2 linked regions of the Xenopus tropicalis genome follow. The protein of the gene in region 1 interacts with the protein of each later gene in a pairwise test. Links are inferred from orthologs where the notes say so. Each region holds a gene or a part of one and is shown in the gene's direction. Other genes may lie near its edges.

Region 1 (4,292 bases):
TTAATAAGTATATGAATTGTCAGAACCAACCCTCCCCTTGCAGGACCTGCTCCCCTCCTCAAACAGGTAAGTGGGATGGCCCAGGATATCTACTCTGCACTGATTGGGTTTGCTACACAGTAGCAGGGGGGGCAGCATTCTCTAGTTAATTTGGGGTTCCTAGAGTTTAGGGGTTACTTTCTCTAGTAGCATCTGCCCTCCTGATCATGTAATAAATACTCTGCCCCTTTCTATTACACCCAGTACATTCTTTGGATCTGCTCATTGTGCCCTAAACACTCCTCATTTTAGTTCTTCCCATAATTGTAAGATATTTATTAACATATTGGTGTTAGAAAATAGTACCAGGTTTGGTTATAATGATTCCCTTTTCTCTGTAATAATAAAACAGTACCTGTACTTGATCCCAATTAAGATATAATTACCCCTTATTGGGGGCAGAACAGCCCTATTGGGTTTATTTAATGGTTAAATGATTCCCTTTTCTCTGTAATAATAAAACAGTACCTGTACTTGATCCCAACTAAGATATAATTACCCCTTATTGGGGGCAGAACAGCCCTATTGGGTTTATTTAATGGTTAAATGATTCCCTTTTCTCTGTAATAATAAAACAGTACCTGTACTTGATCCCAACTAAGATATAATTACCCCTTATTGGGGGCAGAACAGCCCTATTGGGTTTATTTAATGGTTAAATGATTCCCTTTTCTCTGTAATAATAAAACAGTACCTGTATTTGATCCCAACTAAGATATAATTACCCCTTATTGGGGGCAGAACAGCCCTATTGGGTTTATTTAATGGTTAAATGATTCCCTTTTCTCTGTAATAATAAAACAGTACCTGTACTTGATCCCAACGAAGATATAATTACCCCTTATTGGGGGCAGAACAGTCCTATTGGGTTTATTTCATGTTTAAATGATTTTTATTAGGTTTAAGGTATGGAGATCCAAATTACAAAAAGACCCTTTATTTGGAAAACCTCAGGTGTGAAGCATTCTGGATAACAGGTCCCATACCTGTACTTTAGTGGATAAGGACAATGGCATGCCAAGATGATTTACCAAGCAACTTTTGCTTTGAGTGCTTTATAATGGCAAAAAATAGGAAAATTTTTATTTTTGTTAATTAAAACAATAGAATGTAATTTTAGCATAAGTCCTATTTGATGTGCTAATATTTAGCAAATATGTTTTTAGGGATATACTGTCCCTTTAATTCAATATCTCAAATGTAAAATATTCCCTGTTCCTGTATCCAACCATTCGGGTACATTCATTATATAGTAATAAATGCTTTATTAGCCTGTCTTTGCTTGTTAATCGATTAGCAGGTAATTCTCAGGCTGCACAGATACACACCCTGCCGGAGCAGATTTCTTCCTCTCCATACAAAACAATGGGATTCCACATAACTCTTAACACTGGCTTCTCAGGACTACGCCCCCCATAATTCCCTGGGCCTGGAGCTCAGCCAACTTATTTCCTGTTAGATCAGCTGCTCAGAGCGTGACTGAAGTTCTGCTCCCTGCAGCTCTGGGCACTGCTACTGGGTTCCTCGCAGGAGAAGCACCATGGCTGCCAGTGGGGCAGAGCTGAGTCTGCGGTACCGTGACAGGGTGGCAGTCATAACGGGGGGCACCAAGGGCATCGGAGAAGCAATGGTCAAGGAGTTTGGTAAGGATTCAGTTTGCTGCTAAAGTTTATAACTAAATCCCAATGTATCTGCCTTTTATTTATTATTGTGTATATGGGCAGTGGCATAAAGCAGCCCTGGGCACTGGGGTACCTGCATTCTTCTACTAGGGATGCCCCCAATCCTCTTTTTAGGGTCTGGCTGAACCCCGAATCCTTTGCAAAAGATTCAGCCGAATACCAAGCAAAGTAAAGGTTAAAGAGAAACTTCCATATTTACGTGACAAAACGTCATGGATTCAGATTTGGTTTGGCCAAAGGCATGGATTCGCCCAAATCCTGCTGAAAAAGACTAAATCTTGGCCGAATCCTGGATTTGGTGCATCCCTATTTAGCGCCAGTACCACACTTTTCTACTGGTTTAGTGCAGCGCCTCAATGCATTTATAACTAGAGTGGAGCCAAATGAGTAAGGCAATGGTTCTGAATCCAGTGCTCAAAGCTCAAAAATGGGTCTCTGTGCTTATAGGGGATTGTTACCATGACCCCTTCACATAAAGTGGCACTTTGCCACTTTACAACTGAGGTTTATGAAGAATTGTGGATAATGTATTTATATATACTGTATATATATATATATATATATATATATATATATATATATATATATATATATATATATATATATATATATGCTATGAACTGGCATTCAACAAATGCCCAATGTCCAAGTGGAACTAAAGTGCTAAGAAGCCAATGCAGCACAATTATAGTGATACTAAAAATGGATTGTGTTGAGAATCATTAAGGATTTCCACCAACTTTGTGGATGTGCCCATTGTTGCTCTAAAAGGATATGGAGCTAGCCTTAATTTCAGTATTTCAGCCAAGATGGTTTAACCCTGTCTCCTGTATTTATAACTAAGTCTATGATTAGTCTTGTTGGATGAAGCTTGCTGTTGCTGTCATCCTAGCGCTATAGGCCAATTAAAAACGAATCTAAAAATTAGAATCCAGATGTTGTTGTATTGATGCATTTTCAGCCAATATCCACAACTGAGTTCTGCCCTATGGAGTTTTATTACTACTTTTCTGTTAGATTTTGAGGGTCGGCAGGTTAATCACACCAACAAAGCTTGAGGTGGGAAGCAAGGGTAATGGCCCTCAACCCTGCACATTGTAGGGCCAGAGCAGCAGCTGTAGGTAAAAAGAACGGGGAGCAGAAGGAAGAGATGCAGACAGTTGCACTTTATATTAGCATTGCCCAATATATGCCCCTTGGGCTCTTTTCGAGGTATAACTGGCACCCACCTTATTGGGACTTATAATTCAATGACAGTCAAACAGTCACTATTGTATACATAGTGGGGCCCAGCAACATCTGTACATTGCCCTGGATGTGTTATTTGTTTGGCTTGACTTGGCAGAAGGACAAGTTACACATACATTTTGTTTGGTTGGGTTGTTCTGTTCAGCTCAAAGTCCAGAGGGCAGGATTTCTCCTGTTATTACTGTGGGGATGGGTTGTGTAGGCTCGACCCCCTCTCTGGCGCTCTGTCGTGTAGAATGTACTATACCCTTTATAATGACCCACGCAATACGGAGGTTATCAGCTTGCTTTGGGCTTTTCATATCTTCTTTACTTCGTTGACTATGGGGCTCATTCATCCAGACCCCCTAGTCTTTGGGAAGTAACTAAGTACCCACTATAGGGGGGGCATTACTGCTAGGTGTGGGTAATAAGGGACAGGTGACTGATTATTCTTTCTAGGAAATAGAAGAAAAGCTTTCTGGTTCGTCACACCAAGCCTGTTCTAATTGCAGTGCAAAGAAAGAGGGAGTCATAGTTTCTAGGTGCTAGAAGGACACAATTTGGGCCTCTCCTACCCTAAGGCTCCTGATCTCAGGCTAAACCAGTCGCCAAACATTGCAGCGTGCATCCACATGGCACTAATAGCAGCTTTAGGCCAGTGATCCCCAACCAGTGGCTCGGGGGCAACATGTTGCTGCCCAACCCCTTGGATGTTGCTCTCAGTGCCCCCAAACCAGGGAGTTATTTTTGAATTCCTGACTTGGGGGCAAGTTTTGGTTGAATAAAAACAAGATTTCCTACCAAATAAAGCCCCTGTAAGCTGATAGTGTGCATAGAGGCTGCCTAATAGCCAATCTTAGCCATTATTTGGCTCCTCCATGAACTTTTATGGTGCCTGTGTTGCTCTCCAAGTCTTTTTACATTTGACTGTGGCTCACGGGAAAGAAAGGTTGTGGGCCCTGCTTTAGGAGAAGTCCCCACTGTGGAGACAAAAGGCTCTCTCAAGCCCAAAATCCAATCCTGCTGCATGTATGTGTTACTATGGATCCTCAGTGTGTTACAATACAGCAGCAGCCATTTACCATAGATACTGCATGTATGTGCCTGTAGCACTGACTCTTTTCTCTCTTTTGTGCCCCTTCTGTTCGTATCTGCAGTAAAGAGTGGCGCCAGGGTGGTCTTCTGCTCGAAAGGTAAGGAACTCTTCATAGGAATCTCCCACGTCTTGGGGAAATGTGTCTTTTTCACACACACACACACACACACCAGACCAGTCTCCTATATCCCTGCCCCCCCTCAGCGAGCAACTGCTGGGTCTGCTTTCTCTGCTCCTACACCCTA
Region 2 (11,381 bases), on another chromosome or scaffold:
ATATAGTTATTGTGCAGACTGTAGGAGCAGTGCCAGCACACAGGCAGCATAGGGCAGGCAGAGTATGGCACACACAGGCAGGGTAGGGCAGGCTGAGTATGGCTCACACAGGCAGGGTAGGGCAGGCCGAGAATGGCACACACAGGCAGGGTAGGGCAGGCCGAGTATGGCACACACAGGCAGGGTAGGGCAGGCAGAGTATGGCACACACAGGCAGGGTAGGACATGCAGAGTATGGCACACACAGGCAGGGTAAGGCAGGCAGAGTATGACACCCACAGGCAGCATAGAGCAGGCAGAGTATGGCTCACACAGGCAGGGTAGGGCAGACAGAGTATGGCACACACAGGCAGCATAGGGCAGGCAGAATATGGCACACACAGGCAGGGTAGGGCAGGCTGAGTATGGCACACACAGGCAGGGTAGGGCAGGCTGAGTATGGCACACACACACACAGGGTAGGGCAGGCTGAGTATGGCACACACAGGCAGGGTAGGGCAGGCTGAGTATGGCACACACAGGCAGGGTAGGGCAGGCAGAGTATGGCACACACAGGCAGCATAGGGCAGGCAGAGTATGGCACACACAGGCAGCATAGGGCAGGCAGAGTATGGCACACACAGGCAGCATAGGGCAGGCAGAGTATGGCACACACAGGCAGCATAGGGCAGGCAGAGTATGGCACACACAGGCAGGGTAGGGAAGGCAGAGTATGGCAGGTTTTTGCTGTACTACCACCATTAATATGGGTATGGTCATGTGATAACATGAACTCAATGCTCCATCTAGGTCTTCCATTAATGAAATATTCCACATGGGTCCTATTGTACTGCATATCTATCAAACAGGTTTAATTAACAAAAGAAAACAACGAAAAGCTGTGCTTAAGCATACAGATATGAGGTATAATCTAGTATAATCTAGCAGTGTCAGTAAAAAGAATTATTCAGCAGCCAGCAACTGGACAGAATTGTAGTTGCCATGTTTTCACTTTCATAAATAAATGCTTTTTTTTGTTTTAGCTTTGCACCATAAGTAGCTTTTTTAACATGTGTAGTTCTAGGCATAATTAAACAATAGTAATAGGAAGCTTTACAAACCAGCATGCCCCTGCAACTGATTTCTTGCTTTGGCTTCACAGGACTGGAGCAAACTAGCCACCTGTTATTGTATCCCCACATAGTTTAGCATAGGTTAATGTGTCACTATAAAGCAAGGGTTCTTAAGCTATGGTTTGAGTGCCATATACGGCCGCCCATGACGTTAAGAGTGGGATTCCACTTCTTTTAATAATGTGAAATGTCTTTCTACAATGCATAACATTTATTAAAACAAAGTGCATAAGGGGTTGTGAAATAGATTACCCAATTTAAAAAGGGAAGAAGAAGGGGGAAATCAATAGAAAATCAAATCTATGACCCAATAGAAGCAAAAAATAATAAATTATTGCCTGCCACTGTTGGTTTTCTCTTTGGTTGCAAGGATCAGCTTAGCAAGGCATCATTATCAACGGTTTTCTAAAGTTCTGAAGTAATCTGGCTTTTATTGCAAGTGTGTGTTTCTGTTTGCAACGTTACCTTCTAAACAAAGCTGTACAAAGTTTCGGCATGCTCTTGGTGCCTCTTTTGACCACAATTCAATGTCAATCTCTCCAGCAGTTGTTTTCAGCAAAACCTGGAAAAGTGGTAGTAAAAATTATTATTTGGGCAGGATTTCTTCCTCTTCTTGCTGCCTTTGTCTTTCACGTGTGGCATATAGTATGACACAAGTTCACACAGGACATCCTACCCTACCCGTGAGCATTATTTAAATATAAAAAAGTTGGGGAGTAACACAAGCACGAAAAAGTTTTCTAGGGGTTACAATGAGGACTGTGACTGGTTATTAGGTAGCCCAACGTGGATGGGCAGACTACAGGAGGCTCAGTTTGGCAGTACACATGGTCTTTATGCCCCCAAAATTTGCATCCAAGCCAGAGGCTACTGGGAGCAACTTCCAAGGGGTTGGGGAGCAACATGTTCCTTGCAAGCCACTGGTTGGGGCTCACTGCTGTAGACCTTCTTTACCTCTTACATGGAACTAGATATATAATTATCACAGCGTAGTTCAGGAGATACTTATGGGTACATCATATAGAAAGAAATGGGATGACATTGAGCAACAATATGGAGGTGAGCAAGTTGATGGCAGTGGATGTGATCTACTTGGACTTTGCTAAAGCATTTAGCAGTACTGCACAGAAAGTTAATGGTAAAATTTGGCCTGGAACATAGTGCTGGGCGGTATGACCAAAAATTTATATCACGGTATTTTTTTTATTATATCGGTATCACGGTATTTGACGGTATTTTTTTTTCCCCATGCATGATTAGGTGACCACCCCAAACACCCCCCCCCCCCCAATTTTTCTTACTATTTCCGGGTTGCACGCGCGACGTCAGCGCGCACAACCCGGAAATAGTAAGAAAAATTGCCAGGAGGCGCCCACACCGGTATGCCGGTAAGTTAAAAATTTTTATCATTTTTTTTTTAAAAAAATGGTGTTCGGTATATACCGGTATACCGCCCAGCACTACTGGAACATAATATTTTAAATTGGATAAATAAATGATTGAAGGATAGATTACAGTGTAGAGAGAGGTGGTAAATAGAACATTTTCTAATTGGGCCAGTGTTGTTAGTGGAGTACCGCAGGGGTCAGTCCTTGGTCCTTTGCTTTTTAACTTGTTTATTAATGACCTGGAGGTGGACATTGAAAGTACTGTTTCTATTTTTGCTGATGATACTAAATTGTGCAAAACTATAAGTTCCATGCAGGATGCTGCCGCTTTGCAGAGCTGACAAAGCTGGAAAACTGGGCAGCAAATAAGGTTTAATGTTGAAAACTGCAAAGTTATGCACTTGGGTAGAAATAATATAATAATGTAATAATATTACACACTAAATAGTAGTGTGTTGTGGGGATCCTTAATAAAGAAGTATCTGGTTTTTTTTGTAGATAACAAGTTGTCTAATTCTAGGCAGTGTCATTCTGTGGCTACAATAAAGTGCTTAAAAAAAGGGCATTGACTCAAGGGATGAAAACATAATTTTGCCCCTTTATAGGTCCCTGGTAAGGCCTCACCCTGAGTATGCAGTGCAGTTTTGGGCTCCAGTCCTTAAGAAGGATATTAATGAGCTGGAGAAAGTGCAGAGACTGCAACTAAACTGGTAAAGGGGATGGAAGGGTTAAACTATGGGGTTAGACTGTCAGGGTTGGGGTTGTTTTCTCTGGAAAAGAGGCGCTTGCGAGGGGACATGATTACTCTGTACAAGTACATTAGAGGGGAATATAGGCAGATGGGGGGGTTCTTTTTTTCCCATAAAAACAACCACCACACCAGAGGCCCCCCCTTAGGAACGGAGCTTCCATTTGAAGCAGCGTAGGGGGTTCCTCACGCCCCGGGGAGGGCAGTGAGGTTGGGGAATGCCCTTCCTAGTGATGTGGTAATGGCAGACTCTGTTAATGCCTATAAGAGGGGCCTGGATGAGTTCTTGAACAAGCAGAATATCCAAGGCTATTGTGATACTAATATCTACAGTTAGTATTGATGTTGGTATATATAGTTTAGGTATGTTAGTTTGGTATATAGCCTATATATGTGGCTGGGGTTCGCCTGGAGCCCATTCATGTAACTAAAGGACAGCCTGCACTGGTGCATTTGGGCACCTTCCTAGCAGGACATTAGTTAGTCAGCTCAGAAGCTCTGTCCTAGGGCTGAATATGCAGGAGGAGTCTCCATAAAGCGCAGCACAGTCCTCTCTGCTCCCCATGTGGATTATACCAATGTGCTGACAGCTGGGGGGGGCAGCTACATGACGCGAAACTAAAACATTTACCCTGGGAAATGTATTTTCACAGAAAAACATTGAGTAAATTTACTTATAGACTTTACATTTCCTTTATCAGGTACCGCGCTGGGAGAGATATTTCAGCAACAGCAGATGGGAATCCCATGCTAAATATTATTCCTTTATCCTTCTGCCCTACAAGCCCCTTACTTTCTCCCGCTGCTCACCTTGCCGTTTGTCGGCGGCTCCTGAATGTAAATATTGCTCATTGTTACTCAGCTTCTTGCAAACAAACTCCAGCGTGCAACCTGACAGGACGGGACCGCCCACATACAGCCTCAGAGGGGTGCCAGAGAAGATTCTGATTTAAAAATGACACAGCAAAGAGCGTTAACAGGACTCGTCCCATCCACAGTTATATAGTAGCTCGTATTTTGTTACCCGAATGCTCCAAGATCACAGCGTCTACAGCAGAGGATGATTACACCAGAGTTGCATTGCTTTAGTTCCCCCCTTTCTCTTAGTGTGGCCGAAAGTACACTTCCCGGAAACCAGAGCTTTCATTTGCGTTCCACTGCGCACCGCTTATTCTGTTCCGCTGAGAAACAAGTCCATGCTGTGATTGAGTTCCGAGGAAGTGAATTGGTTAGGAGGCGCGCAGTAACTGTTTGAGGGGTGCGATCTTCTGTGTACGGACGCTGAGAATTGTGACTTATGGCTGTCCCAGGTTAGTCTGATTTATAAATCACGTTTTTTACCTCACCTGATCCATCTGATTTTGATAGAGAGGACTTTTATAATACAGGCTCGAGTCTGAACTCGACATGTGTAAAGTCTCTGCAAAGTGCATTATGTTGTACTGTACACTGTACGCACACAACCCAACTCCCCAACCCAATTAGTTTTATCCCCCGCTATTTTATGCCCGAGTCCCCAAAATACGTAGGACATCATTTTTTTCTGCTTTTGAAGGGGTGGTTCACCTTCAGTTAAACTTTAAGTATGTTATAGAATAGCCTGTTTTGAGCAACTTTTCAACTAGTCTTCATTTTATATTTTCGGTTGTTTCTGCCTTTGTCTTCAGGCTCTTAAGGTCCCCATACACGGGCCGATAGAAGCTGCCGATATTGGTCCCTTGGACCGACTCGGCAGCTTATCGGCCCGTGCAGGGGCAGAAACGATCGGACTGGCCGACCGATATCTGGCCTGAAATTGGCCAGATATCGGTCGGCCAGGTTAGAAAATCCTGTCAGACCGGGGACCGCATCGGCTCGTTGATGTGGTCCCCGAACCGACTGCCCCATTGCTGCTTGCAGAATTCGATCGTTTGGCCCCAGGGCCAAACGATCGAATTCACCGAAATTCCTCCCCGATATCGCCACCCGTAGGTGGTGATATCGGGTGAAGATCCGCTCGCTTGGCGACATCGCCAAGCGAGCGGATCTGCCCGTGTATGGCCAGCTTTAGGCTAAGAACCCACCGAGCGAGTTACTTGCCCACAATATCGCATGCGAGTAGCTGCTCCAAAAAGGACTACTCACGCAGAGTTGCCTGCAGGAGGAAACTTTGTGCAACTTCGGAACACGAAACGATACAAAGGGCTTTCCACCAGCGACTTCTATTGTTACCTGTGGAAAGCCTTTTCGAAGCAGTTACTCACATGTGATAGATCTCTCCTAACTCACTCAGTGGGTTTGTACCCTTAGGGCTCTAGTACATGGGGAGATTAGTCGCCCGCGACAAATCTCCCGTGTTGCGGGCGACTAATCTCCCCATGTACCAGAGCCCTTAGGGTGAAGACACATGGAGCTAATAGTAGCTGCTACTTGTAGTAGACAATGCTGATCATTTACTGATAACAGCAGGGCTGTGGAGTCGGAGTCGAGGAGTCGGAGGCAATTTTGGGTACCTGGAGTCGGAGTCGGCAAAAAATGAACCGACTCCGACTCCTACTAAATTTAAATGGGAATAAAAAAAAAAAAATAAAGCAAGTTTAAATGTCCCAATTCACAAACAGTCATAATTAATTACTTCTCTGCTATAAGAATAAAGCCCAATGCACGCAGTGCATAAACTAACACGTTGAGTGACCATGAAGCATGCTTTTCACTGACTGTATGAATGTATAAAATACATTCGCATATTAAAAACAGAGGAGTCGGAAGTATCAGAAACTGAGGAGTCGGAGAATTTTTCTACCGACTCCACAGCCCTGGATAACAGTCTCAACATGTTTTTTAGCAGAGGCAATTCTCAGTATTGTCTATGGCAGGGGATTTTCTGGCATTTAGTAGCTGTAAAAAAGTAGCTGCTACTAGTAGCTCCGTGTGACTTCAACAGTTTTTAAATGGGACCAAAAATCCCCCACTGCTTATATCTTAGTTGGGATCAAGAACAAGGTACTGTTTTATTTATACAGAGAAAAAGGAAATAATTTTTAAAAATGTGAATTATTTGATTAAAATGGAGTCTATGGGAGATGACCTTTCCGTAATTCGGAACTTTCTGGATAATGGGTTTCCAGATAAGGGATCCCATACCTGTACCTTTATTGGCTAGAAAAAAGGAACTAAAATGTTCTGGAAGCTTGCTATGATTATCTTAGTTAGCCAATAAAGGTATCACCTTTATACCACTTTTGTTATTTTTTATTTCAAAAGGGTTACCCTGTAAACATGATGGGTGTTATGAACAGGTTTTAACATGCTGTGTGCATGACTGGTCTAACTCTCAGCACCTTTCTGCCACAGGCATATTTGATTGTATTCACTTTTAATAAAAGTGGTTATTAGTAGCAAGTGTCCCCCAGATATAAGCATGTCATTCTATTAGTGATTCATGAGTCATTTGTGAGTGTAAGGAGGGCACTATGGTCCCGCCCTGAATATGGATACTTCATACCAGTATGATGCTGTGTGCACCATAGGTCTAAAGAGAAAATGCTGTCAACAGTGAAAATGGGTCACTTATGCTGTGCCTTTCGATAGTGCTGCATGCTGTGTAAAGTAGTGTGGTCTGGTTAAAACTCATTAAATTTACGCTTTAAAAAAAGTAACCTTTTTATTTCCATGACTGGAGAGGCCTTTGATAAAACTTGTCAGAAAGGAAAGGGTTGCCAAATGTAAACTTTTATATCCTCCTCAACCAAATAGAGAACTCTGTCTAAAGCATTTGCTGTATATTCTGTTTCAGTCGTCTGTTAACTTTGGGCTCTAAAGGACCTGAACAGAAATGATTTTCCTTTTTAAAGGACAATACTTGGATCTGGCTATGGCTTTAGCAAGGGCCCTGGCCAACAGTGTAGAGCAGCGTTTTTCAACCACTGTTGCCTGGTGTGCCGTAGGCAGGGCACCAATGTACTAGGGGGGCACTGCTCTTGGCACCAATGTGCTAGGGGGGCACTGCTCTTGGCACCAATGTACTAGGGGGGCACTGCTCTTGGCACCAATGTACTAGGGGGGCACTGCTCTTGGCACCAATGTACTAGGGGGGCACTGATGCTGGGCACCAATGTACTAGGGGGGCACTGCTCTTGGCACCAATGTACTAGGGGGCACTGCTGCTGGGCACCAATGTACTAGGGGGGCACTGCTGCTGGGCACAGAGTTAAATTTTTTAACATTTTCTAATGGTGGTGTGCCTCGTGATTTTTTTCATGAAACAAGTGTGCCTTTGCCCAAAAAAGGTTGAAAAACACTGGTGTAGAGAACAATGTCACAGCCTCCTTCTGCCTCTCTTGATTTTATTTGCATTTCATTTGAAAGCAGCAATCTCCTGACAAGTGCTCTCATCTGCCTTTCATACTTCTGATTATTGTGCTGCGCTCATAGTGCAATTGGTGCAGAATTCAGGTTTCTTAGCGGTGCACTGCTGGCTAATGATTCTGAAGTATAAGGAGATTTCTTATGGTCAAAGAAAATCAGAAGGAAATCAGTAGAGGTGCAGCATGCAGTGGGCTCAAAAGATAGAGCCTGTAGTACGGGGTGGAGATATGTGTTTACGAAAAGTCAAATCCAAATTAGTTTACAGTTGGGGTAGTGGTTGAAAGATTATTGAGGGGAAAGCCCTTTGAAAGAGGATAGAGGGTCTCTTAGTCAAGGTGACATAAGCAGAAGGGGTTCTCGCTCTCCTTCCTTTACTGTCTTGTCCTTTATTAAGAGTATACATGGGCCAATAAAAGCTGCTGATTTGGTCCGTATGGACCTTACAGCAGGGTGCTCCTTTTCCACATTTATGATATTAGCAGTTTTTACATTGCTAATTTCATAAATGTGTAAAAGGAGCACCCTCTGCTGTTTTGTTTAGGTGGGGACCAGGCAGAACTGGAACTGCTTAATTCACCAATACAGACCGCATCTTCTGCCGCTTTCCTGCTCATTTCTGCTGCTCAGTGGACCAGTAATGATCTGTGTGTGGTCACCTTTGCTTTTATATTTGGCAATGCAGATCTTGGAATCTGGAATATAATGAAGTTTGAATTAAAACTTAAAGGGGATATTATTTTAATGCAATACTTTTATTTCAGCATCTTTATTGTAGTAACAAGCCAGGCCTTCAATGTTGTACACAAGAGCTCCCCATCTTGGATTTTGGAGTGTCAGCGGCACTACAAATGCTCAGTGTGATCTGGGCAGCTGTTAAGAAACTACAGTATACTGTGACATTTATATTCTATATATAAAGTATAATGTGACATTTATATTCTAAATATACAGTATATTGTGACATTTATATTCTAAATATACAGTATATTGTGACATTTATATTCTATATATACAGTATATTGTGCCATTTATATTCTATATATACAGTATATTGTGACATTTATATTCTATATATACAGTATATTGTGACATTTATATTCTATATATACAGTATATTGTGCCATTTATATTCTATATATACAGTATATTGTGACATTTATATTCTATATATACAGTATATTGTGCCATTTATATTCTATATATACAGTATAGTGTGCCATTAAAATTTTATATATACAGTATAATGTGCCATTTATATTCTATATATACAGTATAGTGTGACTTTTATATTCTATATATACAGTATAGTGTGCCATTTAAATTTTATATATAGGTCTTTTGATTCCTGTTACAGGATCTCAGTTTTGCTTAGATGTTTGAATCCCCCTAAGTTATTTAAGATAGCACCACCAAACGGGGCACAGTATTACTTTAAGCTGCATTTATAAGTTGTATAAAAACATCTGTTCAGCCTGGAGTATAAATGGCAGAAGTCAGAGGTTTAGTTGCCCTTATTCTTCATGAGCTTAGTAAGTCAATAGTTTAGTGATATTATTGGCACACACAAAATAGCCGTGCTTTGATTTTGGGGGATTGTTTGTTGAAGTTCTTTGGTATCACATTACCGCACGAGAAAAGGGTTGAGATTTTCTTTGTGTCCTTGAAAACCATTCCTTATCATCATACTTGAACACGTTTTAATTTATTTTGAATTAGGATATCTGTGCAATAACATAAAAAGCAATCCTATCGAGTCTGGATTGCCGGTTGGATATAATCAAATGAAAGAAGCTCTTACTTGTTATTTTAATATATACATATTTATATTGCCTTTCAGCTAGTTTGCTTGTGTGACAGCATCGCACAATTACACACACCTTTACACGTGGGAACATTCATATCATTATCAATCAGTGCAGCTTTCACGCTCATAAATATTTAACATACGGATCTAAAACTCCATATCAGTCAATAAATATTTAATGGGGGAGCAATCCCTTTCACTATTAGAAATTATCATATTTATTGATGTTTGGTGCCTTTTTATTAACTCCTTAACTGCAGGCAGAATAAGTACAATTCCAAACATGTTAACCAGCAGGGTCTTCAGCTAGTGTTGCCCCAAGCGCAAGTGCTAGAGCAATAAGGAAACAAATTTGTACCCCTTAGGCCCATGTACAGAGCACTTGTGCCCAGGGCAATATTCTGCGTGTACTAGCCTTTATATCTTGTGCTATATTATATCCAGTGAATTATCACATTATGAATGTGGTAAGTACAGGGACCCCCAACACTCTGTGTAACTGGTGCTCCCTAGCTTGCACATTTAAATGTTTTGCAAGATAGGAGGCTTTTTAAGGGACACCCTTGCACTGACCATTGAGCTTTCTAGATCCTTTGTTTGTACATGGTCCTGTGTCCCAGCCACAACCTTTCTCGTAATGAAATGTGGTTTTTTTTGGCTTTATCACATTTCTCTTGAAATACTTTATGGTCGTCTGCTCAGGTACAAAGTTACGGGTACAAAGTTACTTGTGTCATCGTGGCTTTTTATTTTATTTATTAAATAAACTACAAACATTTCTTAATCTTTAAGTTTAAACAAATGAAAAAAAATGAAAACAATAAGGTTATAGAGTGAAACAACAACGCACTGGGCTTTATTCTTACAGTAGAGAAGTACTTAATTATGTCTGTTATCTGTCAAATAGAACATTGTAACATATTGTATTTTCTTATCATTACAATTTAAATTTATTATGAGTCGGAGTTGGTACATTTTTGCTCCGCCTTCAGACACCCAAAATTGCTTCCTACTCCACAGCTCTGCTTTTCACACATGCAACCCAATTACCGTATATACTCTAGTATAAGCCGATCCGAATATAAGCCGAGGTACCTAATTTTACCTAAGAAAACTGGAAAAACGTATTGACTCGAGTATAAGCCTAGGGCGGGAAATGCAGCAGCTACTGCTAAGTTTCAATAATCAAAATAAATACCAATAAAATTACATTAAATGAGGCATCAGTGAGGTATATGTTTTTAAATATTTATTTCAGAGAAAAACCATAAACTTGCTCTGTAAGTGGAGAAGATTAGAGGAACGGAGCTTCCATTTGAAGCAGCGTAGGTGTTTTTTCACAGTGAGGGCAGTGAGGTTGTGGAATGCCCTTCCTAGTGATGTGGTAATGGCAGATTCTGTTAATGCCTTTAAGAGGGGCCTGGATGAGTTCTTGATCAATCAGAATATCCAAGGCTATTGTGATACTAATATCTACAGTTAGTACCGGTGGTTATATTTATAGTTTATGTATGTGAGTGTATAGATTGGTAGGTGTGGGTTAGGTGTGCTGGGTTTACTTGGATGGGTTGAACTTGATGGACACTGGTCTTTTTTTCAACCCTATGTAACTATGTAACTATAACTGTGTAACAAAAACAATATGGTATCAATATTGATACCTTAAGAGTACTACACCCTTAGCTCAATCAGCAACCAAGCTAAAACACAAAGAGTTAAAATCCTTCAAAACTATATATATGATATATATTCTCATTATACCATAATAAAAAGGGAAGCTGAATTTCCATAGCTTACAGTTTCATAGAACATATTATTTCATAGAACAGTTTTATTTCTGTTATCAGAGAAACTGGCATGGAAGTGTACTTCCTAAAAACTAAAAGTACGGTTAATGGCTATTTTTTTGGATATTGTAAACAACTAAAACATCTTTTATTTATTAAAAATGATACCTGCACCTTTTAAGCTAAAGCTGCAGT

The links. The genes of interacting proteins can lie anywhere in the genome.
Region 2: the proteins of hsd17b14 (region 1) and srek1ip1 interact in binary tests that used the Homo sapiens proteins (3 or more experiments, as listed by UniProt). The two-hybrid records come from large-scale screens. The link is inferred for Xenopus tropicalis from reciprocal best matches to the Homo sapiens genes HSD17B14 and SREK1IP1.

What each region holds. Positions count from the first base shown.
Region 1 is NC_030683.2:114,406,471-114,410,762, reverse strand, and holds the start of hsd17b14 (17-beta-hydroxysteroid dehydrogenase 14), read left to right. Parts: upstream 1-1,492; 5' UTR 1,493-1,579; coding exon 1,580-1,682; intron 1,683-4,108; coding exon 4,109-4,144; intron 4,145-4,292. UniProt on the Homo sapiens protein: Catalyzes the NAD(+)-dependent oxidation of L-fucose, yielding L-fucono-1,5-lactone, which rapidly converts spontaneously to L-fucone-1,4-lactone. Can also act on D-arabinose and L-galactose, with lower catalytic efficiency. Does not use NADPH.
Region 2 is NC_030677.2:188,224,829-188,236,209, forward strand, and holds the start of srek1ip1 (protein SREK1IP1), read left to right. Parts: upstream 1-4,474; 5' UTR 4,475-4,545; coding exon 4,546-4,558; intron 4,559-11,381. Other genes in the region: spliceosome-associated protein CWC27 homolog, read right to left, coding at 1,578-1,674, 4,059-4,100. UniProt on the Homo sapiens protein: Possible splicing regulator involved in the control of cellular survival.